Linked DNA regions of Notamacropus eugenii. The protein of the gene in region 3 interacts with the protein of the main gene of each other region in a pairwise test. Links are inferred from orthologs where the notes say so. Each region holds a gene or a part of one and is shown on either strand. Other genes may lie near its edges. The genes, in order: ATF5, ATF4 and TRIB3.

Evidence for each region.
Region 1: the proteins of TRIB3 (region 3) and ATF5 interact in a two-hybrid assay, tested with the Homo sapiens proteins (2 studies listed by BioGRID and IntAct). The link is inferred for Notamacropus eugenii from reciprocal best matches to the Homo sapiens genes TRIB3 and ATF5.
Region 2: the proteins of TRIB3 (region 3) and ATF4 interact in binary tests that used the Homo sapiens proteins (3 or more experiments, as listed by UniProt). The link is inferred for Notamacropus eugenii from reciprocal best matches to the Homo sapiens genes TRIB3 and ATF4.

Annotation. Positions count from the first base shown.
Region 1 is NC_092876.1:12,046,098-12,056,761, reverse strand, and holds ATF5 (cyclic AMP-dependent transcription factor ATF-5), read left to right. Parts: upstream 1-6,400; 5' UTR 6,401-6,638; intron 6,639-7,457; 5' UTR 7,458-7,591; coding exon 7,592-7,769; intron 7,770-7,851; coding exon 7,852-8,465; 3' UTR 8,466-8,864; downstream 8,865-10,664. Other genes in the region: LIG1 (DNA ligase 1), read right to left, coding at 9,072-9,158, 9,246-9,338, 10,059-10,202, 10,436-10,489, 10,656-10,664.
Region 2 is NC_092874.1:298,748,945-298,758,981, forward strand, and holds ATF4 (cyclic AMP-dependent transcription factor ATF-4), read left to right. Parts: upstream 1-5,963; 5' UTR 5,964-6,101; intron 6,102-6,570; 5' UTR 6,571-6,650; coding exon 6,651-6,876; intron 6,877-6,993; coding exon 6,994-7,808; 3' UTR 7,809-7,892; downstream 7,893-10,037. UniProt on the Homo sapiens protein: Transcription factor that binds the cAMP response element (CRE) (consensus: 5'-GTGACGT[AC][AG]-3') and displays two biological functions, as regulator of metabolic and redox processes under normal cellular conditions, and as master transcription factor during integrated stress response (ISR).
Region 3 is NC_092872.1:432,033,062-432,044,203, forward strand, and holds the start of TRIB3 (tribbles homolog 3), read left to right. Parts: upstream 1-5,943; 5' UTR 5,944-6,071; intron 6,072-11,142. Other genes in the region: NRSN2 (neurensin-2), read left to right, coding at 1,543-1,734, 3,202-3,527, 3,922-3,977, 4,538-4,845. UniProt on the Homo sapiens protein: Inactive protein kinase which acts as a regulator of the integrated stress response (ISR), a process for adaptation to various stress. Inhibits the transcriptional activity of DDIT3/CHOP and is involved in DDIT3/CHOP-dependent cell death during ER stress.

The DNA.
Region 1 (10,664 bases), on a different chromosome or scaffold from region 3:
TCAGAGAAAACACCGTGGCAGATCAGACCAGAAGCAGGAGAGCAGAGGCCGACATGCATTGGTGCAGAGTCACTCCTCACTGGGAGTCTCCCATTTCAATGAAATCTGAGGTCAACTGAAGGAAAAAAAAGAAGTTGGGTCCAACCATTACTGAGTCCATTCTCAGAAAGAAATGTCAGGCTGTGTGTGCTTGTTTATCTGTCTCAAAGCTGAAGGAACATTTGTAGAAATGAGCCCAAGGGCAGACAGACAAAGGGACCTTCTATCTTCAGAGCATTCCCTCTCAGCCCTTCCTTCCTGGCCCAGGATGCCTATGTCAGCCAAAGTTATAAGCTCCATATATATTAACTAGGATATGAGAAAGGAATTTCTTAATGGGATAGATTGTAAATATACTAAGATGGAGAATGTCAATTGAAATTAAAGACCCAGGATGTCTGTGTTTCTTCTGTCACTAACATGACATTGATGGAATTCTACTAAAGCTGCCCCCAGCCCCAATATTCTAATTTCCTTCCAGATCCCACTGTCCCCTGCCCCCATTCAATATCCTAACTTCCTAATACAGGCCTCGCTGTGTGTCCATGAACTCATATTTCTCCCAGAAACAGCAGGCGTGTCCATGTGATGGGATCCCAGTCACTGCCTCTAGCTAGCCACTGCCCATAGACCCATTTCTCATATTTCCCATAGAAACAGCAGGTGAGTCCATGTACTCCTTCTAGTATCAGACAGGACTACAATGCTCAGCCAATCAGAAAGCAACACCACCAGGATGCCCAGGCAGGATGTGGACCCCCAAATAATGGAAGAGATTTTCCCTAAGTAGGCAGCTGTGCAGTAATAGCAAAAGCTGGCTGTTAGGTAAGCTTTTGACATAGAGATGTATTGTAATATCATTACCATACATACATGCTCTCCAAAAGGGTTTTTTCATACGCCTTGTGGACAATTGCAAGCGCAGTTCCACTGTGACTAGGATGCCTCCCCATTACCTAATTCCATATCAACCCCTCCTGTCTTTTTAATATTCATAATTTCTGTTGTGAAATTGTATCTTTGCCTGATAAAAATCCATCTTGCTTTCTCTGAAGTTGCTGGTTCCTCTTGGAACTTAGTCCACTCCATGTGAAGCGTCATTCTCCATAAATGCCTATTCTTGGATTAGAGGTGGTCGATTCTGAATTCTTTGAGATGGTTCCACCATAATATGTCAGGAAACCACAACACCATAACACAATGTAATATGACATGTCTATAGAAAACCAAGGTAAGAAAAGTCCCATTATTCAAGAAAGTGTCTGGGTCAAGGGGCCTTGTCCTTGGCAGAAGAATGCTCCTGGTCGACTTGATCGGGCCTTGTTACTAATACAGGAAGGACCATTTTTGGATTCACTCAGAGAGCAAAGCAAAGCAGGTCTGCCATGTCAGAACATTATGATAGGTCAAGCTCCGACAAGCCAAAATGCCTCTCTTGATTGGTCAATCCAGGTTCCAGGTTCCCCTCAAGTCTTGGGGGTTCACAATTGTTTGGGGAGGGGTTCATAGGATCCAACAGAGAAGACTTAGAAGGAGAGGCTCAGGCAGGGGAACCCCGTGTTACAAGAGCTACAGCATAGGCTGGACTATGTCACTCCACTTCTCAAGAGTCCTTAGGGGTTCCCTGGTACTTCTCAGATAAAATACAATTCAGGCCAGCATTTAAACCCCTTCACAACCTGGCCAGCCTCCCTTTTTGACTCATTTTGTTACTCCCTTTAACTCAATGCTCCACCCAAACTGGATGATGATTGTGGCCACCCATTTCCACTCTGCTTTTGCTTGGGCTGTGTCCCATGCCTGGAATGCCCTCCCTCCTGAGAGACTCCCTGCCTCTCTTCAGGGTTCAGTTCAGGTGCTACCTTCTACAAAAAGCCTTTCCAGATTTCTCCAGTGGTTCCTGCTCTTTCCCTCTGGTCTTCTGACCAGCTCCTCCAGAGCCATCATCTCAATCCCCCATAGGTGGGCTACCTCAGGACAGGGAGACTGGCAGTAAGGATGCTTTCTGCAGATTTAGGGCAGTGCAGTGACATTTAGAGCCCTGCAGCTTTGGCCATAGTCAGTGAAAGATCACACTGTATTGTCTTGGGAATTTCCTTTCCCCCAAATAGACAATTACATTTGCCACCCTGCTGGAAACAATTAGGTTGCTGTTGTATTGGCCGGGTGAAAGTAAGGGAGACTTCCAGAGGTCAGGGGCTGCTCCCGGGTTCGTTTTGTACCCCAGCACTCAGCACGGGGTCTGGTTGGAGTGGGGTAAACAGCACTTGGTGGTTGAACTGCACTGTTACAGGAGCCAGTCTGAAGAAAAGGGAGAAATCAGAGGAAAAAGCCAGGGCTGGGCAGCCCCACTGGGGATGCCTGGACACCCTGCTACTACTCAGGCTCTGAAGTCAGTGCCCCTAAACAGGCTGCCTTTGGGGGACAAGCCCTACCTGGGTCTGAGAAATGCAGGTGGGGTAGGGTGGGGTGGGGCGGGGCAGTTGAGGTGCTTCTGCTTCTAATCCACAGTGGCTTCGAGGAGGCAGCTCCCGGGGTCCTGTGGGAGGGACTGGGAGGAGATGAAGCTGGGGGAGATGGTTGCTATGGAGATGTGCCACTGGGAGGCTGGTTACCCTGTATACTGAGGGAGCTTGCACCTGGCTGGGGAGGGCTAGGAAGAGGAGGGCTCCCAGGTCAGGACTGGCAGGGGCTGGTGGGTAGGAGGCCCCTGTAAGGCGGAGGTGGGGTGCAGGCTGTCCCCTAAACCTAGAAGCCTCTTGTTCCTCCTCTTGGCCTCTGGGCTTCGAGGTTCAGCTCACTTTCCATGGGAAACCTTTACTGGTACAGTGCCCATCATCCCCTCCTCCCGCTAGCATCTTCCCCCTGGGGTTACCTGCTGTTTATTCACACCATCTCCATCCTATGTGGACTTAGTTGTTTGCCTGTTGTCGACCCCATTAGACTGGGAGTTGCTTGGGGGCAGGGGTTAGGCTGGTGTTCACTGGAACGGTGTTATTGAGTCATTAAGTTGTGTCGGACTCTTTGTGACCCTATTTGGGGTTTTCTTGGCAAAGATAATGGAATGGTTTGTCATTTCCTTTTACAGCTCATTTTACAGATGAGGAAACTGAGACAAGACTTTTTCAGGGTCACATAGCTAGTAAGTGTCTAAAGCCAGATTTGAACTCTGGTCTTCCTGACTCAAAGCCTGGCAGTCTATCCAGTGCACCAACTAGCCACCCTAATTATTACTGACTTATAAACACATGCCAATATCTCTAGAGAAGCCCAGAGTCTCCAAGCTGGAGGGATTTTACCTGATACGGGAACCAGTCTGGGACTGAGGCTAGTTGCCTGGGTTGCCTTGAACGTTCCAGGGGACAGTAACCCATAATGATGTTTGGGACATACAAACTTGGCTAGAAGATGGACCATGCCACTCCCTTTCTCAAGAGTTCCTTTCTCCATGCCCTTTGTGACCCAGATGTCCAGAGACCTGAACCCCTAACCTCCCTAGTGGGCAGACCCACTTAGAGTGAGCTGGTTTTTGACCTGCTTCCCAGCCTTATCTCCCCCTGCAGCCATCTCCTGATGACCCCATGTCTGACAGCAGATCTAGGGTCAGGGGGCCACTGGGGGAGCTGTAAGGAGGCCTAGAGGAGGGAAATAGAGAGTGGGCAGAGGGTGAATGTTCTAGGGGTGCAGAGGCCCCAGGCAGGTCCAGCTGGTGCCCACAGCCCAGTCCAGCTTCCTTTCTGACTACACTTCTCCATGCAAGGAGAGTTCATTGCCTGACAAAATTCCACACTTCCTAGGGGCACATGATGGACTCCTGCCCACGTTGCAATAGCAGCCCCTCTACCCCACAGCCCCTAGTGCAGCTACAAATGTGATCACAACCTGGCTCTCTGCTTCTCAAGCACTTGCTATGTGTGACACATTCTGTTGAACCCGGAGGATGCAAATATGAACAAAAAGGTAGTCCCTGTCCTCAGGGAACTCACTTTCCAACCTAACTGGGAAGCCAGTCACAAAGGAAGGGGGGAGTCACCTACTCAGAAAGTGAGATAGGGGCCCCTCCCCCAAAATGGAGGCTGTGGGAAGACCTTGCCAAGGGAAGAAGGGGCCCCCAGGAGGCATGGAAGCTATTAGAATACCCTCCAGGAGGGTAGGGCCATCTAGTAAGGGCTTAACATTTTTTTCCTTCCTCCCTCCCTCCCTTCCTTCCTTCACTGGAAAGTGTCCACAGGCAGATGACTGGGAAGGTGAAAGGCCTTATGAGGACTTCTGGCCCAAATGGGAACATTTAGCTGGGGAGGAGAAAGAAGGCTTAAGGCTGGAGGGGGTGGGGGCTGGAGGAACTGTCTTCAAGTTCTTGAGGGCCTATAAGGTGGAAGGTGGGCCAGCCTTGTTTCCTTGGCTCAGAGAACTGGGGGAAGACGCTACTTTGGGTCAGGGCTGCCCAAGGAGGTGATGGATTTCCAAGACGGAAGGTCTTCAGTGGAGGCTAGTTGGCCTACACTCACACTGCAGAAGAGATGCTTGGTCAGGTGTGGTTGGGACTAGGCCCTGCTTTGGGAGGATCCTCAGGGAAACGGAGGCTGAGCAGGGGCCCTGAGTCAATCCCAGACAGGTGTGGGGCAGAGCACTGGCTGGAGATGGAGTCAGCAGACCTGGGTTCAGATCCTAGCTGTCACTTGTGGCTCACAGTCTGTCAAGGTTCCTTTGGAAGGAGCAGACATGCAGGAATCACATTTGTTTGTGCCTTTGCCTCAGTCAGCAAAAAGTGCCAGTCTGAAAGTGGCACACACCCTGTACGTGTGTAAAATGCCTAAGGACTCTTCCTTCTTTGAAATCGTCTGGGGTCTGGTCAGAGGGAAATAAGTGACAGGCACCTTAGGGTCAGAGGGCAGCACATGGACTGGGAGAGCTGACCCCAGTCCACAGACAGAGAATGCAACAGGACAGAGAGGTTTCAGGGAGTTGGCTGGGAAGCTGGCAGGCTGAGGGACAGAGAAAGTCCCCCATCCCTCAAGTTTGAGCCAAGGGGGTCACAGGAGGAGGATGGGGTTAAAGGTGGCCACGGGGCTAGAGTGTGCTCGGCTGTCCCAGCCCACGCACTCCCTTTCCCCTACTGACCTTCACCCTGACCTCCATCTCATCTCCAGCACTCCCCTCCTCCTCCCCATGTCTGCAGCTTGTCCAAGCCAGGGGTCCTGAAGCCCTGGGACTTTATGACACATATCTAGATAGATGGTCAGAACTCCGAGGTAATAGGATTTAGGGTTAACTCGCTGGGTCTTCTGAGTGGGGTGGGGAAGGGGTTTGGAGCGGTAGGACGTCGAGAGGGTGGGGACTGAGGTGGTCTGTCCGGTCCTAGAACTGACCGGGGCTTATGGGGGAAACCAGGAGCCTGAGGGCCCCTCCCCCGCTTTGTGCTCAGGTATTCTCCCTAGGGGGCCCCTCTGCCTGCCGCAGGATCCGGGCAATCAGGAGTTGTTGCCAGGTGAACTGGTGCCCCTAGAGAATCCCCCCACTCCCTGCCCACATCGGAGCCAGGGCTGATGCAACCTGGCTGCAATGCTGTCACCTCACTCCCTGTGCCTGGCCCCTCCGCCCCAACAAAGAGTCCCCCTCAACCCCACCCAGGTGTGTCTCTTCCCCCCCCCCCCATTCTGCGGGCAGGGCAGGGGAAGGGAGGCGGAGGGTGTTGGGTTTCTGGCTGCCGGCAGGTGGCGGGTGCTCGAGTCCGTGCGGGACGCGGTGTGGATGGGGCTCCAGGGTGGGCTGTGACGGACTGGCACCTGCCGGGCATGACTGGGGCCCACCGGGAGGGCCTGACAAGCGCGGACAGGGAGGCAGGCAGGAGGTCGAGGACTTGGGTTTGGGTCCCAGCTCGAGGCTCACTGCCCGAGTGACCTTGGGCAAGTCGCAGCCCTCCGGGACTTCTCCTCCCCAGATCTAGAAAGACCTCGGGGGAGGGATGACTAGCCAACCGGGCTCGGACCGGCGGCGGCCTCGGGGGGCAGGGGGGCGCCTCCGAGGTCTCCTGCAGGCTCCTCATTTCTTCATGCCGCGTGACTCCCCGCCAGCCCCCGGCACTGGCATGGGCGTTGCGGGAAGGCCACAGGGGGGCGGCAGGGCGCCCCGGGCGGAGGCCCACGTTGCGGGGCAGCAGCGAGGGGCCGGCCTGGATATTTAGGCCCAGCCCCTCACTGTACGGACGAGGCGGAGGAGACTTGGCAGCCCTCGCTGGAGGCCAGGGCCGGTGGGGGCGGGGCCTGGTGGCATGGGGGCGGGGCCTGGTGGCATGAGGGCGGGGCCTGGTGACATGGGGCGGGGCGCGGAGGGATCTGTCAGGCTGCGCTCCGCCCTATATCTGCTCCCGCCCAGGGGGCCGCTTCATTTCCCTTCTCTCCACCTGCCACGGTAATTTGCGCGCAGACCGTCCGTCCGCCCGCCCCGGACCATGGCCCTGTAGCTCCGTCCCGTTGCCCCCGCTGCTCCTCGGCGCCCGCCGCGCTCGGCCTCTCGGCTCCCTCTTCTTCTGCCGCCGCCGCCGCCGCCTCCTCCGCCGGCGCTTTCGCCGCCTCCGCGCCCTCCGTTGCAGCCATGGAGTGAGTACCCGGCGCCTGCGCACTGAGTTCCTGGCGTCTCTTAGACTCCCGGGAGCGGGATGGAGTAGAACTACTGGAGTGCGCTCAGCACAGGCGCATGCGCAGTGCTCGTTTGCTGTGCCTTACCCCATTTAGCGCACCTGTTAAGGAGGGGGAGGGGTTTGGTAGAAGCCTGTGGATTTTTTTAAGGGAGGGCGGGGCCCAAAGGAACGGAGGGCGGAACTTGATAGCACTTTTCTGGTGGAGTCGAGGCTTTGTGAAAGTCTTTGGAAGGGGTGGAGCTCAAAGCCCCTGATGTGGGGGAGGGGGCAGGGCTTTCCGAGCCCTTTCATGTAGGGGCGGAGCTTCGTAGATTTGGACGGGGCGGGTTGAAGGAGAGGCGGGTGTGGGTGGAGCCCTTTGTGGAGGCGGGACCTTAGGTGGGGAACAGAGGGCTCCAAGGCATTCAGGGCTGGGTTTAAAGGAAGCCTTTGAGGAGGAGGGCGAAGGAAGACGCCAGACTAGGAGGGTTTTGGGCCAGAGAGGACACGCTCTTGGCAAAGACCAGGCAGGGACCAAGCTGCCAAAGAAAGGGTGGTCGCTGGAGAATGATGGATGGGGCCAGAAAAGGAATTCTCCTGGGAGGGGGCGGGACTTAGAGTGAAGGGCCTGCCTCGGGGCGGGTCTCTTCAACCAATGGGCTGGAAGAAGGGCGGGTGCTGGTCTTTAGCCCCACCTTCCTAACACCTCTGGGCGGAGCTCGCTCTCACCTCAGCCAATGGGCTGGGGGGGTGCTGGTGTCTAACCCCGCCCCCACGCACTCCCCTTCCCTCCCCGCAGGTCCTCCGCCTCTGCCACCCTCCTGCTGAGCAGCTGTCACTCTCCCCTGAGCCTCCTTCTCCAGCTGGGCCTTGCCTCGGCCTCCACGTGCTCTCCTGGCCCTCGAAGCCCCGGCCTGTGCAGTCCTGGCTGCCATGTCTCTCCTGGCGGCCTTAGGGCTGGAGCTGGACAGGGCCCTGCTCCCAGCTAGCGGGCTGGGCTGGCGGGTGGACTACGGGAAGCTCCCCCTGGCCCCTGCCCCCCTGGGTCCCTATGAGGCCCTGGGGGGAGCCCTGGAGGGGGGGCTTCCTGGGGGCAGTGAGTCCTTGGCAGGTAAGGCAAGAGGGAGGAGGGCAGGGGGTGATGAAGGGGAGTGAGGAGCTTTCCTCCCTGACTGCTACCCCTGCCTGCCTAGGTGACGGCTTCTCAGACTGGATGACAGAGCGGGTGGACTTTACTGCCCTGCTTCCCCTGGAGCCCCCCGGTGCCCTCCCGCTTCCATCTCCATCTCCTTCCCCTCCAGACCTAGAGGCCATGGCCTCCCTGCTGAAGAAGGAGCTGGAGCAGATGGAGGACTTCTTCTTGGATGCCCCCCTCCCACCCCCCTCCCCAGTGCCTGTGCCCCTTCCTCTGCCCTCTTTTGACCTCCCCCAGGCTCCTCTAGATACCCTTGATCTGCTGACTTTCTACTGCAGTGGGGAACCCGGGCGGGGTGAGGGGGAAGGTGGGGAGGTCTTCCAAGCCCCCTTGCCCACCCCGTCGGCCTCCCGGCCAGCCCCTTATCCCATGCCACCCTCTCGGGGAGATCGCAAACAGAAAAAACGTGACCAGAACAAGTCAGCTGCACTCAGGTACCGCCAGAGGAAACGAGCTGAGGGGGAGGCCCTGGAAGGTGAGTGCCAGGGCCTGGAAGCCCGAAATCGGGAGCTGCGGGAGCGGGCAGAGTCCGTGGAGCGTGAGATCCAGTACGTGAAGGACCTGCTCATCGAGGTGTACAAGGCCCGAAGCCAGAGGCTGAGGAGCACTTAGCACATGGGGGCCATCCTGGCTGCTCTCTCAGCCCTGGCCCCACTTTCTCCCTCATGGAGGGGGCTGGGCAGTGCAAAGGCTGAGCCTTGCAAGTGAATGGACCCCCTACCTTCCTGCCCCGCCCAGGGAGGCTCCCTCTGCCTTTCTGTAAATAGGCCTTAGTCAAGGGTTGGGCATTGCCCTCGGGAAAGAAATGAAAGCGGAGCTTCCCCCCCAAGTCTGGGGCTCTGAAACAGCTCTCAGGCCTCGTTGAAGATTAGGCCAAAGGGACCAGCTGGGGAGTGGTTGGGCAAGGGCTGGTGGTGGGTATTGGCTGGGAAAAGAAGTGGTAGGGGAAAGGGGAGGAGCCACACCTGGGTCTAGGGCTTTATAACCAATAAAGGAACAGACTGTCCTGGATTCTGTCTGCCTGTCTGTCTCTCTCTTGGGGCTGCTGGATCCCAAGCATGCACCTGCCCCTGCACACAGGTTAAGGTGCTAGCTGAGGCAGACTCTGCTGTGCCCTTCCCCCCAGACGAAAGATGAATCAGTCACTCTCTAGCCCCCAAATTTTATTGAGTAATTACTAGCACCTTTGCTCTGCTCACCCAGGTAGGACTGGGTGAGCTAATAGAAATCTTCAGGTTCAAAGTTAGTGGGTTCGGAGTCCTGCTGGTTCTGAATCTGTTGCTGCTTCTTATACAAATAGGCCACCTGTTGGGGGGAGGATCCAACTGATGCCAAGAAACACGTCACAGGCCTTGGCCTCACCCCTCCCTGCAAGCCTTTCTCCCCAAATACCTGGGCACTGGAGGTTGCCTCTTCTGGTTTCTTGTCTTTTCGAACTTGGACAAATCGGGGGAAACGAAGGGAGATGCCCTTGTCGCTCTCCACCTGGGTGGGCATCAATGAATGGTCATATTCCTGCCCTGTAGGGCTTCAGTAACCTTGCTTCCCTGCCTAGCCAACAAGTATGCCAAAGGACCTATGTACCAGGTACTGTGCTAATAATAAGCACCTTGCACATACCTGATCCTTACAACCCTGGGAAGTAGCTGCTAGTATGATCTCCATATAATTGAGAAAACTGAGGTCAACTTGTCCAGGATCATGTGGTCAGCATCTAAGGCTACATTTGAACTCAGGGCTTCCTGACTTCAGACCCATCGCTCTGTCCACTCCACCACTTAGCTGCCCAAATTCCCACACTCAAAGAATTTCGGTTCTCCCAAAGGATTCCTGGGCTGTGATTTGGGGACCACCCCAGACAGAATTCCTCCTGCTCTTCACTTCTCCAGGGTCCACAGCTGAGGCCTCACATGTCCCTGTGGATCCCAGCTCCCCAGGACTCAACCCATAGGCCTTCCTAACCTGGGGCCCCCACACCCAAGAGTGTATACAATCTGAATCTCCTCATCCCCTCCCCCTAGGCCTAGACCCCTGCAATATGAGCACCATAGAAGGGGTAGAAGTGACTGGAATAAAAGCTGGGGCTCCCTGGCCCTTAGGCCTGCACTATTTGGGGGGGAGTGTCTGAGAGTGGGGCACATCTGCTGCAGTGCCCTGCCTTGATTGGCCCTTTTCTTCCAAGACAAAGCCCCCTTTGGTACTCACCAACCCTCGGGCTGCTGAATAAATTGGGGAGACAGAGAGATCGGCACATTTAACCTCCCATACGGTGGTTGGCTCTAGCCAGTGGTCAGGGGGGGCAGCACCTTCGGCCCGGACATAGGAACGAGGAGCAGGAATCACGAGGGCCTGGGTAGGGGACAGAGGGTGAGGGAGGGCAGCTGCCTGTGGCAGAACCAGCGGTGGGGGCAAGTCCAGCAGGAGAGCAGCAGGACCTGGGGTGAAAGCCAGCCAGGGGCTTGGGATCAAACCCAGGGGGCAAGCCTGGGGAGGAGAGGGCAGCAGCAGCAGGGGAGCATGGGGAGGGGAGAGTGGCAGAAGGGGGTAGGGGCAGGGGCTCCTGATGTTTCCTCAGTTCTCACCTGGAGGCTCTGGTAATGTTCTTCTAATTCTTCATCACTGAAGCCTGTGCCCAGCTGAGGAGAGGGAGGAGGCAGAAGGAAACATGGTCAGGGGTACCTTCTGTCTCCCACCCCTGAGTGTGGGCCCCTGCCAGGTTGGGCCCAGTCACAGTCACTTCCTCCAGCTCGCCCCACCCCCAGATGACCCTGCCTCCCTCTGACTCAGCAGGCGGCTCCCCACCTTGCAAAT
Region 2 (10,037 bases), on a different chromosome or scaffold from region 3:
GCCCTACCTCTGGCCCTCTTACCCAGTATTTTGTATTCCCACTGCCAAATCTGAGTATTTTGCTTCTGCTTTCTCTACCTCCCCACTCAATGAGATTCTTGTACAACTGGGTAACCATCTTTACCTTGTACTTGGGGTAAAATGTTCCACATGACACCAGGTCCTCAGCATCCTCCTGAATTTGTATATTTGTCACAGTCTAGGAAGTGAAGTTCTAGGGGCCCCTTCCCAGAATCCCCACCTCTTACCCTTCATTGCCTACTGAGAAGAGTGGGTGCTTTGACTTTTTGGAGGGGGAGGAGTTGGAAAGATGTCTGTGTGGGATTCTGATTGCTTCTGAGCGATGGGAAGGATGAGAATGCACCTTCCTCAGGGGACTGGAAAGATCCACCCAATAAGGTATTTGAAGTCTCCAGTTTCCCCTCTAGCCTGTGTCTCCAAATCAGCTGTACATTAGTAGCACCTCAGTATTAAATACAAAGCTTCAAAAACAAACCAAACCAGTAAAATCAGGTCCCAGGGTCTCTGGTGAAGTAAAGGCATTTCTCAAGAGGGGAAAAGTGTGTGTGAATGTGAACCGCTTCATCCATTTAGGAAGAATTATTCCAATATATCTTCAGATTCAGACAAGATGATCTTGCCGTACAGTCAGGTAATAGCCCATAGGATCAAAAAGAAAGTCTTTGGGTAATGGTTCTATTGGACACAAAGCTATTGACTGATGAAGGGGAGGGTAGAAGAATTCCAGGTTGAGGGGGGCCAAGGTACTGCTTTCCCTTCAGCAAGCCCCCACATCGGCTCTGTTTGCAGTAACAGCTGATCCTGGAAAAGTTCTTGGCTGGCACAAGCACCTCTCCTCTTGAACGAGTTTATTTGACCTGACTTCATGTCTCAGAAACCCAAATCAATGAGGTTTTGGGGTTCTGCCTTGGCCTAACCCCCAGAAATTTAGGGTAATAGTGGGCATTTCCCCCCAACCCATGTTTGTTTGAGGCATTTTTATCATTAAAGGAAAGAAGTAACTAGTACTTTCTAAGTCCATGCTCCTGATGAAAGGGTTGGCCACCATCTCCACTAGTCCCCTTACCTGCTCCTTTTGCTTCCTTTGCTGCTGCTTCATTGGGGAGAGCAAAGGTGCAGTGGGTCCTGGCAGGGGGGCTGGAAAACAATGGCCCTGGCCCTAAAATTGGCCTGCTAGAGAGACTGACTTTCCTTTCCTGGTTGGGAGTGGGACAGGCCAGACTAGGCTTCCCCAGCTTGAAGCAGATGCCCATCACTTCTCTGCCCTGAGGATTCAGCCCTTGCAAGACCTAGTGATAGCTGAGCAGAGAACCAGGACAGCAGGACGTAGGGTGCTGAAAATGTCTCCTCGGTCACCATCTCTGGAAGCTCATTTGCCCTGTGACCTGCAGGGCTTCTGACCAAGCTCACAAACTGCCTTTTGTTCTGTGGAGTGCAGTATATGCAGTCCTTGATCTACAAACACATCTGGGCTGGTTGGGGTTGGGGGGTGTCTGGGTAAGTGTTCTACTCAGTCCTGCCCAGCACCTTGTCTTTTCTCCTCCCTTCAAACATCAAGGCTAAGGGAGTTGATGACCTTTGAAAGAGTGGGAACGTAAAATAAAAACATTCTTTGCACCAGATTTGACTTTTGTGTTTGATGTAGATCAAACCTATTTTCTCCATGTCTGGAGGCTACTGGTATGGGTAGGGCAGGTTCCTCTGATCTCCCATCTGAGGGTCTTTCCTTTAACCCAAGGAGGTCTTCCTTCAGGACCAGGCAGTTGACTGTAGTGTCCCCATCCTTTCCCTTTGCAGCTTAAAAAGTGGCTTGGTAAGGAGTGTTGGGAGCCAAGGAGAGAACCCCTTTACTTGGCGATGTGCAGCATTAATTTTTGTAGGACTTTGCAGTAATTCAGAAAGATCACATGGTTCCTGTTCCCATGTTTCAGAATCTCTGTGTCTACATACAGAGTGGTTATTCTTCATGTACACACACACACACACACACACACACACCCACCCCCGGATTCTAAGGAGGGAAGACACATGTTGAATTGGACCAAGTATGGTTTCCTTGAAATGTCCCAGTGCAAAAACAACACCTCCTAGGCATGGACCTTTTCTCAGAATTACTCACAAGTGACCCAAATAAAACCCACAGATGTACAAAGGAAATCCCTGGACCCTAAGTTCAGAACAGGACCAGAAGATGCCCCCTCCCCCCCAAGCTGCCTACCAACTTGCTCCCTAATTGGGGATGGAAATTTCTCTTTCCCAGAAAAACTGATGAATAGACTACAGAAATCGGGACATTGCATGCAGCCATCCTCGGCCCCTTCCATTCCCTCCACCCCCATTGCCATTTTCACTCCAAATGAGCCGACTCCCTCTTTTGAGTACTGATATGAGACCACTGCAAATTGTTTAGAGCTGGAAGGGACCTTAGTCCTTATTTTACACATAAGGAAATGGAGGCCCAGAGGATGACTAGTCAATGTTACCTGCACAGGTGATATGACAAAGCCAGAATTTGTACCTGGAGCCATTAACCTTCCCCCTCTAGCACACAGTTTCCAAGTTGAAGTTGGTTCATAAGATTTAGAGCTGGGAGAGATTTGAGGTCATGGAGGTCCCCCCCTCCCATTTTATATCTAGTCACTGTAAGGAAACAAAAAGGCAGAATTTGAACTTAGGTCCCTTAACTATACAAGGGGTGATCAATGTCTTCAGTCTCATCTGCACTAACCCTTAGTTTAAGGCTTGACATATCCGTGGAGTCTCAATAAAGACCTAATTAAGGGGGATCTGGCATGGTTTCTTTCCCTTACTTCTTTTCAGTCTCAAGTGAAGGCAGGTACAGTCAGCTACTGTATTATATTATAAAGGGGTAGCAGGTCTAGGAAATGGGCCAGGAGGGATCATGGGCTTTTTGAACCAAAGGGGAACTTTGAGGTTACCTAGTTAAAACCACTCCCCCCACCCCACACATTTTAACAGTGACTACCATTGGTTCACCGGATTTGCAATCATCAGAGCCCACGTCATTGGGCAACAACAAACAGACCCAGAGAAGGTAGAGTGATTCTCCAGGATTCAGGGCTGGCAGGACCCTTGGAGGTCACGTGATCACCCAGAGGAGGAAGGTGACTTGTCAGTGTTGGGATCTGAACCCACCTCCTGGCTGAGATTCCATGCTGCTTCTAACTAGTGGAAAAAAATACTTTCCGAATCTGAGGGGAGGGGGAAGACCTGAGAGGTTGCCTAGGACCAGTTTTTCAGAGGAGAGAACTGATGCCCCCAAGGAATGAAGTGATGGCTCCAGATTATAGGTAGCAAGTGGCAGAGCAGAAATGGAAATCCAGGGTAGGTGCTCACCTGCCTGCACACCTGGTCTGGGTAAATCCCATCTACTCTCTCAGCCTCTGATTTCTTACTCTGTTCCAAGAGAGGGCAGTCTGCACACTCTAGGCAGGTGAATTTGACATGTTTCTGGTAAAGTTTGAGACATATGGAAGAGATGGGTCTGTGAATTCAGGCACCATTTCTCTAGTTTTCAGGAAAGTATTTTGACAGTCCTTCACACCATCCTCATGGACTAAAAGGAGAGAGATAATGGTGAGACTATATTTGGGGGATTTGGAAGGGGATGACTGATCCAATTGGAGGGAATAGTAACCCTAACCCTTTTAAGGCCCGAGGCTGATTATTTTTATCTGTGACCTGGATATCAGCAGATGCCAAAGCTAGCAATGAGCTGACGTGCTGAATGACAGAATGAGTCCCCAAAGACCTCAACAGCCTTGGATGATAGAACAAATCTAGTGAATTGCAATGAATAGGGATTAAAGTTAAGGCCCTACATTTGGACAACTGCACAAGGGCAGGATGGATGGCAGAGGCATGGCGAGACAGTTGCTGTGCAAACAGTATGGGCATTTTTGTAAGCAAGAGTCAACAGTAAGACACAGCTGCCTTTAAAAAAGCTCTTGGAAACAATGCATTTATTTAAGAGGTGCACCATGTTCAAGACCAGGGAGGGGAGTCCTGCCATCTTTCATTCTGTCAGCCTACACCTGGGGGATCCTGTTTGTTTCTAAAACTAGGACATTTGGCAAACTGGATTACATGCCAAACAAAGATCAGCTGGCAGGACCAGGGAGTGTTTAGCCTGAAAAAGAGGAGGGGATAGGGATGAGGGAGGGGGGAAGAAAAAGGAGATGTGATGGGCTGCCAGGGGAAGGGAGATCAAATTTGTTTTGGTGCCAGAGGGTGAGGAGAGGGAGGCAGATCTCAGCGCAACTCAAGGAAAACTTAGCAATTCTAGGCTCACAATCCCAGAGTTGGAAGAGCCCATCCATGGACATCCAGTCCAAGCCGCCCCAACCTCCTTCCAAGAGAGGATTCCCTCTGTTAGGGCACGAAGGCCCCGGATTTTTGTCCGTTTCTGTCCCCAGAGCTGCTCTGCGGTGTTTGGACGGCACCAACTTCGAATCTGCCTCCCTTCCCTCTCGGTTTCGTTCTAAAGGGACACCCCCTAAAACCTGTCCCTCCTAAGCTCGCTCTTCTAGTGCACCCCGACAAGGACCACCCCTCCCTCTCCCCACGTCTAACTTAAATGCCCCCCTGGAGTGCAACAGCTGTTTTTGGCCTTGGAATCAATGACTGGGTGGGGGTGGGAGTCTGTCACAACCCCCACCCCTGGGGATGCTTTCGAGTCAGCTGTCTAGACCAGCGGCCCTCCACTTGGCCCTTCTAGAGAAGCCGGTATTTTGGGACCGTGCCCCTGCGCCTGGACATTGATCTTTCTTCGCTTTCACCCAATGTGATCGATCAATCAATCAATCTTTCCAACCAGAGGTAGAAGAGCGCCTGGTGGGAGGACGTCCAATTCAGTCCATTAAGGGGGCAAGGAGCGTCCCTCCACCCCCACCCCGAAGGAGGGGCGCCTCAAACTAGAAGAGGCCGACCCGACGGGGTGAGCCGCCCCGCCCTTCTTGGGGGTCAGGAGAACCAGCCACCTCGGACCGCGTAGCGTGGAGGTCACTGGGCCTCAGTTTCTCCCCCTCCCCCCCGTAATAAATTCGGGAGCCGGGCCAGCCTAGGCCTCAGCCTCCCGTCTCCGGAGGGGGCGGGGCTTCGGCCCGAGCTTAGAAAGAAGGGGGTGGGGGATGGGAAATCCGGCTTCGAGGCCGCCCCAGGCCCTCAGAGCCTGCAGGGACCATGGGTAGCCTGCCGGTGGTGCCGGAACCCAGAACTAGCCAGGGCCTGACTGCGTGGGGGTGGGAGTGACTGTCGCCAGCCACCTGTCGGGCCCCTCCCCGCCGCCACGGCCCGCCCGACGCCATCCCCTTCCCGCGCCCGCCGCCTTCTTCCAAACCCGCCAGTCGTTGGACTCTGGACCAATGGGAGCTCGAGCTAGGGGTTGAGTCATCCCGCTGCGGCCAATCAGCGCTGTGGCCTCACCCACGCCCCTCTTTCTTCATCGAGTCTCGCGCGATTTCTGAGTTTCCTCGCGACTCCACATTGATGCAAACAACGCCGCATAGATTGTCACGCTCTACCTCCCAGCCACTCCCAGCCCCGCCCTCGTTCCCGGATGCTGGAGTGAAGCGACCGCGTCTTGGATTCTTCCGCAATCCGCTGGGGGGAGAAGGGAGGGGAGTTGTGAAAATAGTCCCTGACCTTCCGCCAGTTTGGGGGAGATTTTAAAAGGCATTTGTCTCTTCCCTTTCTTTGGCAGCCGAGAATCGTGACCGGAGCTGGAGGAAGAGAAGGGGACCGAGAGACATAGAGCGACGGAGGTCCGGGAGAGCGACCACGTGACGCCGGCGGAAGAATACCTAGGCAGGGGAGGCCGCTCGCGTCACTGGTAGCGCGCAGTATAAGACGCTGGAGGCCGGCGCGGCCGCCATTTTCACGCCCGCCCAAGCAGAGACTCAGTGGTTCCCGTGCTGCTCGGCTCGGCCCGACCCTCGCCATCCCCGACGCCCGCCATGGCGTTCTAGAGGCGGCAGCGCCTGCGGCAGCATCGGCCCTTGCAGCGGCGGCGGCAGCAGCTCCGGGCTCTGCAGCGGCAAACTCGAGCGCGAAGCCATGGCGTGAGTGGGGGGGAGGGGGAGCGGCCGCGGGAGGTGGGCCTCGGGCTTCCCGGGCTTGGTTTGGCTGTCTGTTCCGTACGTGTCGGACTAACGAAACAGGTCGCGCTGTTGTCTGTCTCTAAACCCGTTTTGGGGGAAAAGTGCGCAGTCCCGACCTCCCCCATGCAAAGCGTCCGTGCCGCCCCCCTTCGGGGGAGAACGAGCCCCCTCTTGTGACGGGAGGGGCTGGCGCGGGCGCGCTGCCAGCGCCAAACGTGGCAGGGAGGGCGCTCCAAGGAGACAAGATGGCCGGCGCTTCCGCGCGGGGGTCGGAGGGGGGCCGCGGGGCGGGGCGTGAGTCACTCTGGCCGGCGGGGGCGGGGCGGCGCCTCGAGCCGTACATGGACTGCGGGCGGAAGTGGGGCCCCGCCCGCCCTCGGGGAGGGGGATGGGCGGCGGGGGTCTCACGGCTCGCGCCCGGCTCTTGCAGGCTTTCCAAGGCCTCCAGCAGCAGCATTGCTGTCAGCCGAGACTCCTCTGCCTTCCTCCAACTGACGAAAGCCCCGCAGCATGACGGACATGAGCTTCCTCAACAGCGACCTGTGGTTGGGGGACTTGCTGTCCCCCTTGAGCCAGTCGGGTTCGGCGGTTGAGGAAAGCCTGAGCCCCTTCGATGACTACCTGGAGGAGGCCAAGCCCTTCAAATCGCATGGGCTCCCCAGCGACCAGGCTAAGGCAGTCTCTCCCGATTGGCTGGCTGTGGATGGTGTGGTCAACGCCACAGACTACGGCAAGGGTAAGAGTGGGGTGGGGGGCGGGGCCGTGGGCGGAGGCTGCCCGCCCCCCTGCTCGCTGCGGCTCGTGGTCCCACCTGGTCACCGCTCACAGGGTCACGGGCTGCTTTGTCTTGCAGAGGATGCCTTCTCCGGCATGGATTGGATGGTGGAGAAAATGGATCTGAAGGAGTTTGATTTCGATGCCTTGTTGGGTATGGATGACCTAGAATCCACCTGCTCTGAGCTCATTGCCACGTTGGAAGACTCATGTGATCTGTTTGACCCCTTGGCCTCTACTAACAAAGATTCCCCTTCAACAGTCAGTTCAATTGGCCAGTTCCCCGAAACTCTACTTGAACCTGATCATGTCACCCCCCTCACCTCCCATCCGTCTTTTCCCTTTTCTGTAATGGCCCTGATCTCCACGCCAGACCATTCTTTTAGTTTAGAACTAGGTAGTGAAGTGGATGTCTTGGAAGGAGACAGAAAGTCAGAAGCTGTTTATGGGGTGATGCCTAAGGACATCAAAGAGGAAGAACCCCCTTCAGATAATGACAGTGGAATTGGGACCTGTACCAGCCCCGAGTCCTACCTAGGCTCTCCCCAGCATAGCCCCTCCACTAACATGGGTTTACTGACTGAGAGCCAGCTCTCTTCAGATGCCACATTTCTCTCAGCCCGCCTGAAACCATACGACCGTCCCCTTGAGGACAAGAAAGAGAAAAAGGTAGATAAAAAACTAAAGAAAATGGAACAGAATAAAACTGCTGCCACGAGATACAGGCAGAAAAAGCGGGCAGAGCAGGAGGCCTTATCTGGGGAGTGCAGAGAGCTAGAACAAAAGAATGAGGCTTTGAAGGAGAAAGCAGATGCCCTTAGCAAAGAGATTCAGTATTTGAAGGATTTGATAGAAGAGGTCAGGAAAGCCAAGGAAAAGAGGAAAAGTCCCTAAGTTGTTGGGTAGTCATGTACTTTGTGTGTATATAGGAGTCTTGTGCTGTCTTACTCAATAAATTATTTTGTAGTAAAAGTGCAACTTGGTAGTTTTAATGTGCTTCATCAGAAGGCTGGACTCTGAAAACGCTTTTGAGAGGGCAAATTTTAGTTGGAGGAGGGAACCAACACAAGGTACCCTAGATCAGCTGGAGGTTGGGAACAAATCTGAAGGACAACACAATAATGAGAAAACTTCAGGGCCCTGGAAATGACGCCTGTGTCCCTGGGTATCCAAAATACTGAACCTACAGAAAAGGGAACGTCAGGAATCTTTACCCGTAATTTGTACGTAGAGTAAGGAGAGAAGCGTGTCTGCTCATAAGCTTGAGATTCTTTGTGAGACTGGGCAAGTTAAATTACTATGAGCCATAAATTTATTACTCCAACCCTAGCACTGTGTGGAAGGGGGTCCATAGTTTGAAAGTCAGGGATCTGTCTTCCCATTTAGCTTCATAGGGCAATCCATCTTGGCCAGTCAACTCTTCCCATCCTGGCAAGTGGACTTGCCCCTACGTTTGGATGGGGGTTTTGAGGAGCCCATGATAGCTGTCATCAGATAGTGGTCCCAGCATTAAATCTCAGAAATGAATGAGGCTTGAGAGATAAGCCATAAAAGCATGCTTGCTATCGAGCCATCCTTGCGTCAGGGAAGGGAGTCAAGAAGAAACAGATGGAAAGGGAATGATACCAAGGGTAAGAACGAAGAACGTCATCTTTTGGTCGTAGAGACTGCCAGCGGAACAACGGGAGGTAAGGATGGATGGCAGGAAGGGCAAACATTCGTTCTAGTTCTCCCCCTGCCTCCCAAAAGGAAGAGAATGACGAGTTGCCCCAAGAACAGTGAGTGCATGTTCCCAAGAGGCATTTAGCTAAGCTATGTGTGCCTTTTGTCAAGAACGGCTACTTCCTTTCTTTTTGACCCAGGTCACCAAACCTGGCAGACAGAATGCACTATGGAGACCAATTGGAGACTGTAGCAAAACCTTTGATTAGATGGAGGCATGTGGGCTTAGATGATAAGATAATAAAAGTCAGTAGGTTTGGAACTGAGTTAACAGCTAAGCTCATTAAAGGTTCTAAGTTAAGAATCAGGGCCTGGTCACCTGGGGATGTTTTCCTTTCTAACATTTAACGTTTCTATTAAAGCCTTAAATAGCTGATACTATGCTTATCAGATGTGCTGGTAATTGAAGCTGGGAGGGAAAACTGACAGGTAGGTGCCCTCCCAGGACACCAAAAAAAAAAATGTCAACAGGCTAGAACATTGGGTTGAATTTAATAAAATAAAATGTAGTAGGGATAAATATGAACTCATGTCCAAAAACTGAATTCAGTATAACTTAAAAAAAAATCAAAAGGATGAGTTTTTAAGGGGTTGCAAGTTGAGTGGATCAGCCATGTGATGTGGTTCAGCACAGTCCGGAGAAAACTTGGGGAGGGGGTAGCTATAGTCACAATTGTGGAATGATTCAACTCATCAGCTCAGAATCAGAAGGCAAATTCAAGCTGGACATCAGAAAACGCTCCTGTCAGGTGTCCAGAAATGGAATGGGACTTATTGGGAAAGTGACCACTCTTCCCTGCTTCCAGGTCCTTTGCTGTGTCTGCTGTGGTGAGGATTCCTTTTCAGATATGGTCTAGACAGTCATGTCCAAACCTGAAATTCCATGTTTCTGTGAAATGAACAGGAGTCAGCACATTTTGACTCAGGCCTAAAATTTTTTCTGGTTCCCTGAGGACCTCCATGTCCAAAGAGCTAATTAATTAGCAGGTGAGAAATCATTTTATTGGATCCAAACCATAGAATGTGAACTTTCTTTCTGTGCCACCCCCTGAAAAAGCTAGAAGGGAAGGGGAAGGCTCATGCTTGCCCCCAGGAACTCTGACCATTCCCAGAAGCAGCCCCTCAGGAAATGCACTCCTCAGCGAACTTGGATAAGCTTGTGTTCCCCAGAACAGCCTCCCTGGGGCTCAGAGGGCAGGTCACAGTTAGCTGGGACTCAGCCCTGGGCATTTATTTTGAACTAGTTTTAAATTTGTATTGACTTTTTAACATTACTTTCATGTCTCAGTGAAGGTGTAGGCCACCCCTGGCCCAATGAGCCACCTCTAGTAACAAAGAACAAAAGAGAAAAAAAATGCTTAGCAAAACTGATGCAGACCCCTTCTGACAGCACCTGTGATG
Region 3 (11,142 bases):
TATGTAGATTTTTAACTCAGGTCTTCTAACTCCAAGCCCAAGATCTGGAAGGATGTCTTTGTGAAGAGCAGATTCCTGTGCAGTCTCTGGTTGGACTAAATGACTTCTGAGATCTCTCTCCAGGTCTGCGATGCTTTCATTCCAATCACTAAATCTATCTCAGTCTCAATTTCCTCCACTGTGAAATGAAGCTGTTGGATTAGATGGATGATCTCTAAGGCCCTGCTTAGCTCAAACTTTCTCAGTTCAAAGATCCTTTACAACTCTGACCCTGAAAAAGTGTGATTCTTCAATTCTTAGATTCTATAATCATAATTTACTTAACATTCAAACTCCAGAAGGCTTTGGGATCTAAATGCAAATAAGTATGGAAAGGGAAAGTGTTGGGAGATGGGGCCATACCTTATCTATTCTTAGGCAAAATCTTGATGGTGTGTGTGTGTGTGTGTGTGTGTGTGTGTGTGTGTGTGTGTGTGTGTAGAGTTGGTTTATCAAGTCAACAAACCGAATTCAATAAACATTTGTTAAGCACCAATGGTTCTTAACCTTCTGAGCATCGGTCTTAGGGATACAGACTGGACCAGTGATTTTATTGGTATAAGGAACTCTTTAGGGAGGCACCTCCCTCTACCTATCCTTATCTACCCCTATGTAACTTAAAGTCTTAGAGTTGCCTAGGTCATTGAAAAATTAAGTGACTTTCTCAGGGTCACAACAACAGTGGAGTGGGGGAGGCTTGAACAGGTCTTTCTGACTCCAAATTTAGTTGGGTATCCACTTTGCCTCTTGGACTCCACTGGGGATAAAAAACTAAAAAAGCAATATGAACATGACTCTCAAGAAGCTTACAGCATGCTAGGGGAAACATAAATAAGTCTAACGAAAAACAATGTGATGGGAGAAGAGACTCAGACAAAGCGTTATCAGATCTAATTCTTGCACATAGGCCATTCAACGGGGCCTTTGGGATTCAGGAACACAGAGGATTGTGAGGAGAAACCCAAACAAAATGCAAGAAGGTGTTGAAGAACCTTCTTTGAGTTGTCTGGGAAAAACAGAGGGAAGAAAGCCAGGATTACTGGAACGCAGAAAGGGACCTCTCAGGTACATGCAAAGGAGAAAAGGCATTTTCCGCTGCAAAGATGCCTTGATGATCTGTTGTAAACAGATTTTCCCCAATAACAAATACAGCATTACATAATTTAGAGCAAAAATCACCTTTTCAACAGGGCTGGAAGATCCCTTCCTTATAGATTTCCTGGTTTTACAGATAAGCAAACTGAGGCCCACAGAGGTGAAAAGATTTACTCAAATTCGAATAGCTTATGAGGAACAAATGGAATTCAAAGTCAAACCTTCCAACCTTCTATTACACCAAAGTAGAATGGGGGCAGAATAGTTGGAGGAGGCTTAGGGAGGAAGAGGGACTTGAACCAGGCTTCATATCCCATTTGGTATAAGTTAGGAGTAAGGCCTGGACCGAGGGCTTTTGGGAGCTCTGACCTTAAGCCTTAATGTTTCCTCCCACTCTTAGACAGAAACATGATGCCTGCCCGAGAAAGGCCGTGTGCCTGCGGCCGTGGTCCCCATGAGGACCATGGCAAGTGGAATGGGGTCCGTTCCTACTTGCACCTCTTCTATGAGGACTGTGGAGGTGCAGCCCACCCTGAGGAGGTGGAGGACCCCACTCCAAATAACCAGGACACCTGTGACTGGTCCTCTTCCTTCTGGAAGGTAAGTCTTCTCCTCCCCACCCTCCAAATTGCTGGACTTCCTGCCTTAGCCCAGAGTTTGAATAGTCGGGATTTTAGGAACTCAGAGGGAGAGGTCACTGTAGATTGGGGTGATCAGTAAAGGTTTCTAAAATGAAATAATATTTGAGGTATGCCTTGAGGGACAGGTAGGATACAAAGGGGAGTTTTCAGGGTGAGTCAAGGCTCCTGGGTATGAATGAATGTGGGGAGGGGGACCTCTGGGGGAAAGACTGGCTTGGCTGGAATAGGTCTTCTTGACTCTGATACCAACTCTCTATACACTGTGCCAGGTTGCCTCTCCATCTATTCAAGTTCACTAAATTGGCAAAATTGATACGATTAAATGCTGTGGGACTATGGGCAAACAGGTGTGCTATTACATTGTTGGTGGAGCTGCGAATTAGTGAATCTTTTTGGAAAGCAAACTGGTAATATGTTGATAAGAGCAACAAGACTGATCATACTCTCTGATTCAGAGATCCTACTATCCATAAGGAAGTTATACTGGAATAGTCCAGTGGATCTCATCAACATGGGTACTCTATTCACTCATGTGGATTGCAGCTCATCCATGCTTTCTCACCCCATACAAAACTTGTCCATGTTTTCTGTAAGTCATCCATAGAGAATCTACCCAATATGCTACAAGTCTTCTCTGGTTCAATTAATATTTCATGGATACCAGTAGTATTCAGATTATCTGTATTTTATCTCTCAGTCTTGGTACATGAACAGTCCATCTCCTTTTCCAGTGATTCATGTCCTTGTGATACCTATTACATCATCATACAATGGCGTCATCATTGGTAATATGTTCCAGCCTAATCACACCCACCATGGATCTTTCCATTGCTGTTTGGGTCAGCCTTTTGTGGCTATGAATTTTCTGAGCTTGTATTCCTTGATTCACCTGGCCAAGATATACATGGCACTCAATTATTTCTACAGACTACCCCTCAAGTGGAATATCATAATCTGAATGATATTCATTTTTCATCCACTTGGTTTTTCCTGTATGACTGCATAGTTCATATGGGTACTATGAAAAGGAATAAAAGACCAACCTATACATTATTCACAGCACCCTATACCATCCCCACCCACACCCCCCAAAGCAGGAACAAGGTAGTATAATGTAAAGGAATTCCACACCATTGGATTTGATTGATTGAGGTCAGAGTACTTGGGTTCAAGTCCCAGTTCAAATCTACTACTTAGGTAATCTTAGGATGTTACTTATCCTCATTGGGGCTCAGTTTCCTCGTGTTTAAAATGGCTAGAAGGTGGGAAGACAGATGGACTACCTGATCTCTAAGGTCCTTTCTGAATCCTATAAAAACCACTTACAAAATCAAACCAACCCATTTTTACTGACAACCCTAGGTATGGGTGTCAGCCACTTGCCTCCCCACAGCCCTTCCCCCACTGCCTGTCTTCCTCTTCCCAGGGAGTTGTGTCCTTGTCGCTCCTCTTGCTGCTCCTGGGAGCCGCTGCCCTGACCACGGGCTATGCTGTGCCGCCTAAGTTGGAGGGCATCGGAGCAGGAGAGTTTCTGGTTCTGGACCAGCGAGCAGCTCAGTACAACAAGGCTCTAGGCACTTGCCGCCTAGCGGGTAGTGCTCTCTGTGCTGTTGCTGCCATCCTGCTGAGTACTTGCATGCTCTTGGTCCTGTTGACCCGACTCAAGCCAGAACCCAAGGCAGAGCCTGTGGACAGGGAGGATGAAGAAGCACAGCAGCGGGCACCCATCTTATGCCAGAGGCCCCAGAGCTGGTGGGGATCTGGGCTTCCCCTCCACTGCCATGAGTATCCCCTTTGGTCCCTCAGGGGTTCATCCTATCCAGCCCAAGTATAAGTCCTAAGCCTAACTCAGGAGCAGCCCAATTGTGGGAGGAGGCATCACTGAGTCAGAACTTGGGGTCCCTGCCCTTTGGGGCTCACTCTTCTGGTCTACATCCCTTTTTCCTTTACTGCTCCTTTTCCTTCCTGATCCCAGTGGGGCACTTGACTCAAGGCTACTCACCCAGCCCCAGCCCCAAGAAGCTAGACCAAGGGGTGGAAATGTCCAAGGTTGGGGACCCCTGCTGTTCCTTCCCCCATCCCTACTGGGGAATGGCTAACAGGTCAGGGTTCCACAGAAGAACAACTTAGCTCTCTCTTTTTCTAGCCTGGAACCTGGATCTCATGAACTCACTCTGCCACTGAAGAACTGTGTGATTTTGGGTAAGTCTCTTCTCCCTGGGGTTGTTTTCCCTTACATTCAAGAGCTAAAAACTCACTAAGGTTTTTTCTAGCTCTGATTGTCTATGTTTATGTATTCTAACATTATGTGTACCTTCCAGCTCGAAAATTCTATGTTCCTTCCAGCTTCAGCATTTTATGGTCTGTGTTTTAAAGTTCTATATTCTAAAGTGATTTCCAGCTCAAACATTCTATGTTTTAATGTTCTGTGTTCTAAGGTCGCTTCCGGCTCTGCCATTTTGTGACTCTAACATTCAGAGTCTTTGTCTCTTCATGGAGAGAAACATCTGGGTGGGCAAAGTAATTTGGGGGGGGAGATGAGATAGGGCCCCTCTGTATGTATCCTTTCCCAAGACTGTTGAACTTCCCTCCCTCCCCATCCCCCAAACAGATGGTCCCTGCTTCCTATAACAGGCCATCATGCAATAAGAATCTCTCATACTTTCATCTTTCTTTAAAGCACTTACATCTATTGTCCCATTAGTTCCTCATAAAAGTCCTGTGAGAGAGGCAAAACTAGGATAATTGTCTCCATTTTACAGAAGAAGAAACTGAGGACCAGGCTGAGGAAGAGACTTTCCTATCTCAAAGAGAGTCCGTGGCAGAAGTGGAAAACAGACCCAGGTCACCCGATTCCCACTCCAGTGCTATTTCCAATGAACTAGCTCCCAGGGGTGGGGAGCTGGGCTTTCTGGATGGAGACATGAGTGTATCCCTGGAAGAAATTGATGTCTCCATGCTCTGTCCACCCAAGCCAGTTTCTCAAGTATCCCCATCCTGGGTCCAACAACAAGAGGTATCCTTTCTCCCATCACCACCAGGGGGCAACCTGTGCCCAGGACTGGCTTAGGGAGGGAGTTGGAGTTCATCCTGTTTATCTGAAAAGCCACCTGGCTACCAGGGTCTCAGCTCCACTGGTGTATGAGGTCACTGGCCTAACCCCACTTTTGCCTGACCCCACAGCCCTCTCTGTTCCCTTCTTCCCCTGTCTTCTCTCTCAATAAAAAGCCAGGATGGATCTTAAGAACCTCTTCTTTCCTACCCAGATACTGATGGCATGAAGGGCAGGCAGAGGTGTTGAAACCACACAGGGGAGGCACCAAAGAGGGTGGTAACCTAATGCTATGGGAAGCCTGGATAATGGGTACCTTGGGGAACACACTGGGATGTGGTCCCCATGGAGGGAGAAAACCTTGGGGTGTAGATATTTGGAGAACAGTCATTTTGAGATGGACACTGTGGAAGGCAGACACCTTATAATATGGATATCATAAAAGTGGATACTTTGAGATGCATAGTTACCTTAAGGTGTGGGCATCACTTTGGGATGTTTCCCCAGCTGAGGATGGGGACTTTGGGGTGTATCTACCCCAGGTGGGTATCTTGGGGTATGGGTACATTGGATATGGATACCATGGTGGGGGGACACTTGGGAACATAGTCCCATGGAGATTAGACACTGTAGAGGACAGATGTCTTTGGGTATGGACATAGGGAAGACAAGTATATCCTGGGTGCCCTGGGTGACAAGTGGTATTTCAGGGCATAATGACTAATTAAGGAGAAGTGTGGAGAAACTTGACACCTCCTCCCTCTTCTCCACTCAGAAAAACCTTACCTCTCTCCCCCCCTTTCCAGAAATAGAGACATGATCAGAAAGATGAGAGAGACAATAAGGCCTCCAGGTTTAAGAAGCACCCCCAGCCTCCTTGTGCACCACAAATTTTGCATTATAGTTAATCAATGAATCTATCTACAAGCACTTCTTAGACGCGTACTAAGTACCAAGCACTTCTCCAGGCTGGGGCTACAAAGATGAAAAAGAGCTCACATACTACAGCTCCGTGTAAAGAGACGTGTCATTAGGGGTGACTGGGGATTCCTAGTGAGGTAACAGTTACCCCACCTGTTCTGAATTCTCTTGCCCAGATCCCTGGGAATATTCAGCAATTCAGATACTATCAGGCAGCTGTGGAAAAGGGCAGAGGACAACTGACTCCACAAGAAGAGCCTCCCCCTGGCCAAGAGTGAGTTAAGGGAGCTGTCCTTCAGGTAGCCTAGCCTGCCAACCCTAAGGTAGGCCCCAGCCCTCACATCCCCTAGAAACACTTGAGACTGCCAGGTTCGGGTTTGTGGTAGGGAAATGAAAGTTGTATCCTTAGAGTTTTTCCTAACCAGTTCAATTCTTTTACTTGGTATAAAGACTCCTCTTTGTGGGTCAAGGCTATCTGCTCCCCCTTAGGAAGGAGGCATTACACTTGGAAACATTTCTTTCTTAAACCCCACCCCCCAATCTGTGCCCTCCCACTTCCTAGCACAGCCCCCACCCCCAATTTGGAGCCCGTCTAATCAGGCCTTCCTCCCCTGATCCTCAGACCACTGTACTTCCACCCCCATCCCTGTGCAGTGAGTCAAAGTTCCTCCTCAGAGATCCAAGGACAGGCTGTTCCCAAGACTGAGCCTGATGGTAGGCATGGATCAACAGCCTATCCCCTTCCCTCCAGAAGACAAAGGGACAGCTCCAGGGCCCTAAGTGCCAGGATCAGCCCTGGCTCAGCATTCCCACTAGATTTAGGCATCTAGCCTGAGATCCCTAGATAATCAAGAGAGAGAGGGAGGGACAAATAAAGAGAGAGACAGATAGAAAGTGAGATTCAGAGAAAAAAGAAAAATTCATCCATAGTGAAGATGTTTCTGGATGTTCAGGAAGAATACTCTCTACCCATTCACCCAAAACCAATTAGGATGGAATCTTTACTGGTGTTGAGAGTGGGGAGTTCTGAGCAAAAGTGGCCTCAGCCTTCCCCTATCTTTCCTTCCTCCAACAAGCTCTGGGAGAGATATCTCCTATACCGGCCTGGTTCTTCTTCCAGCCTTGGTTATCTCAAGGCAGCCTATGTAGTCTAAAATGACTGATCCATGTCTGGAATTCCAAGACCCTGACCTCTGACCTGCTTTGCTAAACCCAACCCAACAGCTCAGCCTGAGGATAGTGACCACATGATCTCCAGGCCTCCCAAAGAATTCCTGCATTTCTATAGTCTGACCATCTCCCAGACTACAGAGGGGATCCATAGATCAACTTCTCCCAATACCTGAATCATTGCATAGCTAATCTACTGGCAAGAAACCTGGCTATATAAAACCTGGATTTGAGTCCCCATCTCGACACAGCCTTGAGCTAAGTCTATCCCGTCCCCTTTCTTAAGTCTCCTAGTTTCCTCTTTGCCTACTCATAGCACAGAAGTGACCACAGATTCTCAAAGTTCTTACTAACTTAGGAAGCCTCCAAGGATGGGCCTGCTTGGTCCTCTGAGGAGAAGCCCAGCTAAGAACAGGAAGGTTTCTCATCAGGGTCATGACTGCCAGAGAGCAGATGCGCAGTCACAAGGTCCTTGGGAACTATCTCCTGAGGAGGAGAGAGGCCACTATCCATATTGGAGGAGAGTTCCCAGAACAGTGAGTTCACTGTTCTTTTGAAAGTGATACAGATCATTCTGGACTACTGAGAAACAATACCCCTGGGAAGAATGTTCTTCGGCATGCCCTCAAACCCCAGGATAAGCCAACCATCCATTGACATAGGAGTGGAATCTGTATGTGTGTATATGGGTAGGTATGTGTCATGGGTGTACAGATAGACTGGCAGAGTGATTTGAGGGCCAGCCTCAAAACTAGGAAGACATGAGTTCAAGTTCTATGTTTGATAACATGCTGTAACTAGTATCCTTGGATGAGTCACTTAATTTCTCATTGCACCAGGAAACTTTCTGAGATGATAAATTACAAAAAAGGTTGTTGCTTTTCATTGATGAAAGGCATTTCCATAGTGGAACTATGCCAAGGAAATCCCAGATCTGGACAATGTCCCTTCTTCTCTAAATGAAAAGGCAGCACTCAGGCATTTGGGTTACATGTTACATGAGGGTTACGTGTCCAGACACAATGGCAGGCACACAGAGTTTTGTTTCAATTCAACAAACACTTATTAAGCACCTGCTAGGTTCAGCTAGGAGGTAGCTAAGTGACTAAGTGGATAGAACAGTGAGCCTGGACTCAGGAAGATCTGAGTTCAAATCCAGCCTCAGATACTTACAGGTTGTGTGACCTTGGGCCAGTCACTTAACCATATTTACCTCAGATTTCTCATCTGTAAAATGAGCTGGAGAAAGGAAATAGCAAACCAGTCCAGTATCTTAGTCAAGAAAACTCCAAATGGGGTCGCAGGCTGAGAAGGGCAAAGGATCAATCCAGACAATACCCTAGGGAAAATTGATAGGGGGCAAGACTAGTTTTAGTTGGGTGGATCAAAGTAGGCTTCATAGAGGAGATAGAAGCAGAGATGAAGAGATGGTACTTTGAAGTACAAAGGTCACAGCAAGTAGAGATAAAGAGGAATTCTGAACCATAGTTCTCTCTGGCAAAGATGAAGGGTCCTGCATGCACAAGTAAGCCCACAAACCCTTGGATACTTACAATTATGCCACTGTCAGCTTCACACCTGCCTTATAAGCATCATTCAAGAGGGTTTGCCCAGATAAGTAACATCAATTGAATAGCTTAAAAAAAAAAATTAGAGGGATCTTAGCAAGTCCTCTCCTCTCTGTGCCTCGGTCACCTCACTTGGGAAATGGTGGTGATAATCCCTGCCCTGCCTGAAGGCTGAGAACTAGACTAAATGATCTGAGGTTCCTGCTAACTTTAGTATCCAGGATTCTATAGAAATTAATTTGTATTTTGAAAATTTCATAGAAGACCTCTGAAACCATTGAAGAAAATCCTAGGACTCAAGGTAAGTTGTTGATTAATTAATAGGCAAGGGCCACACTATCTCCATTCTCTAACAGTTGAAAGGGGCTGACCTGAAAGCAGGGCATGTGGTTTCAATGTCTCTAATCTTTCTTTCTCTCGTCTCTCTCTCTCTGTCTCTCTCTGTCTCTCTCTGTCTCTGTATCTCTGTATCTCTGTATCTCTCTCTCTCTCTCTCTCTCTCTCTCTCTCTCCTTGTGACTGTTACACTAAACTTCAAGACAGCTCAGTGGAATGGGAATGAAACATATAGTCTGAAGCCATGAGGTAGCTTTCTCTGGAAGAGGCTGATGAGTCCAGAGATGCTTATGGGCACATAAACATACATATATATAGATAAATAGGTACCCATAGAAGGAGTAAGGAACCTGCGTATACAGTCAGGTATGTCTTCATACAACAAATACAAATGGACAAACACAAACACAAAGCGACACGTCCATAAACATATATTCAGACACACACGTGCTTGTGGAGATACACACATACCTGCAAACAATCCCATGCATACTGTAGCTATGAGTACACAGGCCCCTTTGGAACATCTATTCTGTGATTAACAAACTCGGATCTATCCGATGTCTCACTTGTCACAATCATCCACCTTTCGGTGCTTGGGGAAACCTGGGTCTTCCCGGAAAACATAGAAAGCCTGGTCACTCTCCCCAGTTAAGGTTATCCCTTCACTCATGCCCTCCACACTCCAGCTAGAAAGTGAAGTTGGCATACTCCTTGCTCCTCATTGCCACTTACCCCTGTGCTGCCATCACTCTGCAGTCTTTGTTAATTTGAGATGTATTCTATCCCTTCATGTCACCTCCTGGCACAGGTGTAGGCACTATGCAACATCCTGCACTAGCAGCTCACAGCAACTGGTATTTTTCTTAAGCCTCCAGGAAGGGAGGTTTTATTATTATTACAGCTATGTTATTAATTATTCAGAAAGGAAGTATCACACTTGTTTTGTCCACCAGGTAGTGCTAAAGCCAAGCCATCTACTAGTCAAGTTATTTATGAGTTCCCATTCACCACCTCCAGCTTCCTAGCAAGCCAAGTGACTCAAAAGCCTGAGGAATTAAAACTTATATTGCCAGTATGCTGACTTTTCTACTAGGGGATGATGTGATATCATTCAGAATGGCTCAAACATTAGGAAAAAATCTGTAACCTACTACACTTCTGGAGCTTCCCTTCTCAATCAATCATTCCCTCAAAACCATATCATATACTCACTTAATTCAGTGATATATTATGGTACCATGAAAAGAACCATGGCCCCAGAGTCAGGGAATCTGGGTTCAAATCCTACTGTGATGCTACCTGTATAACTTTGGGCAAGTCTTTTTACCTGCCTGGGCCTCAGTTTCCTCATCTGCAAAATGAGGAGATTGAATTAGATGGCCTCTGAGGGTTCCTTCCCTCTCTAGATTCTAAGCACCAATGATACAACCATGAAATATACAAAATTCACTGACTACAAGGTTTACTAGGCATAGCAAAAATTCAAGGAAAATTGTTAGGGGTCCCCACATGGGGAGCCTTTGCCCAACAATCTCCAAGAAACCCCTTCCTACCATTTCCTGGACTCCCATTTTTCTTTCTGGCATGCTGAAGGAACAGTTACAAAGCACTGAGCTCCCCTATAACTCAAGTGAAATTCAAGGAAAGGGCCTGCATACCTGGGACCCCAACTATGATATGGGGCTATAAGCAAGGGAAAACAGAAGAAGTATTGGAATCACCTCCCCCATCCCAGAATAGTAAAAGTGAAAAGACAGCTAAACAAGGAGCTGGCCTCTCCATCCTAGGCTGACTACCAAACGCCTTTTTTCAAAAGTTGATAGTTTCTAATCACTGACTAGCTCTCTCCTCCACAATCCTGCTCTTTGATCATCTCTAGCTTTTTTCCCTCTGGGCTGTCTCAATCACAGTAGTTCTCCCTCCTCCCTGCAAATCAGACAGGAAATCTCTCTGTGTTGTATGGCAACAACACAGTCCTCAGCTGCCCCTGAGCAAACAGCTCCCAGGAAATCATTGGCCTCTGGGGGAAAGGGCAAGAGGGCAAAAGGCAGGCCTCTCGACCCATGAGCAAAATCTCACCACGTCTCCTCATCCTATCCTTGGGCCTTCTTGTGTTCCAGAGTGAGCAAACGCTTTCCCTGCCTGGCTCCCTAGCAGGGGGAAACTGACTTCTTGAGAAAATGGATGGCAAGTGAGAGGGAGGAAAGATAATTTAAAAGAATATAATAGTACTTTTTAAGTTTTTCATTTTCGTCCTCACTTCAACACTGGGAGACAGTCCCTATTGCTATCCCCATTTTACAGATGAGGAAACTGA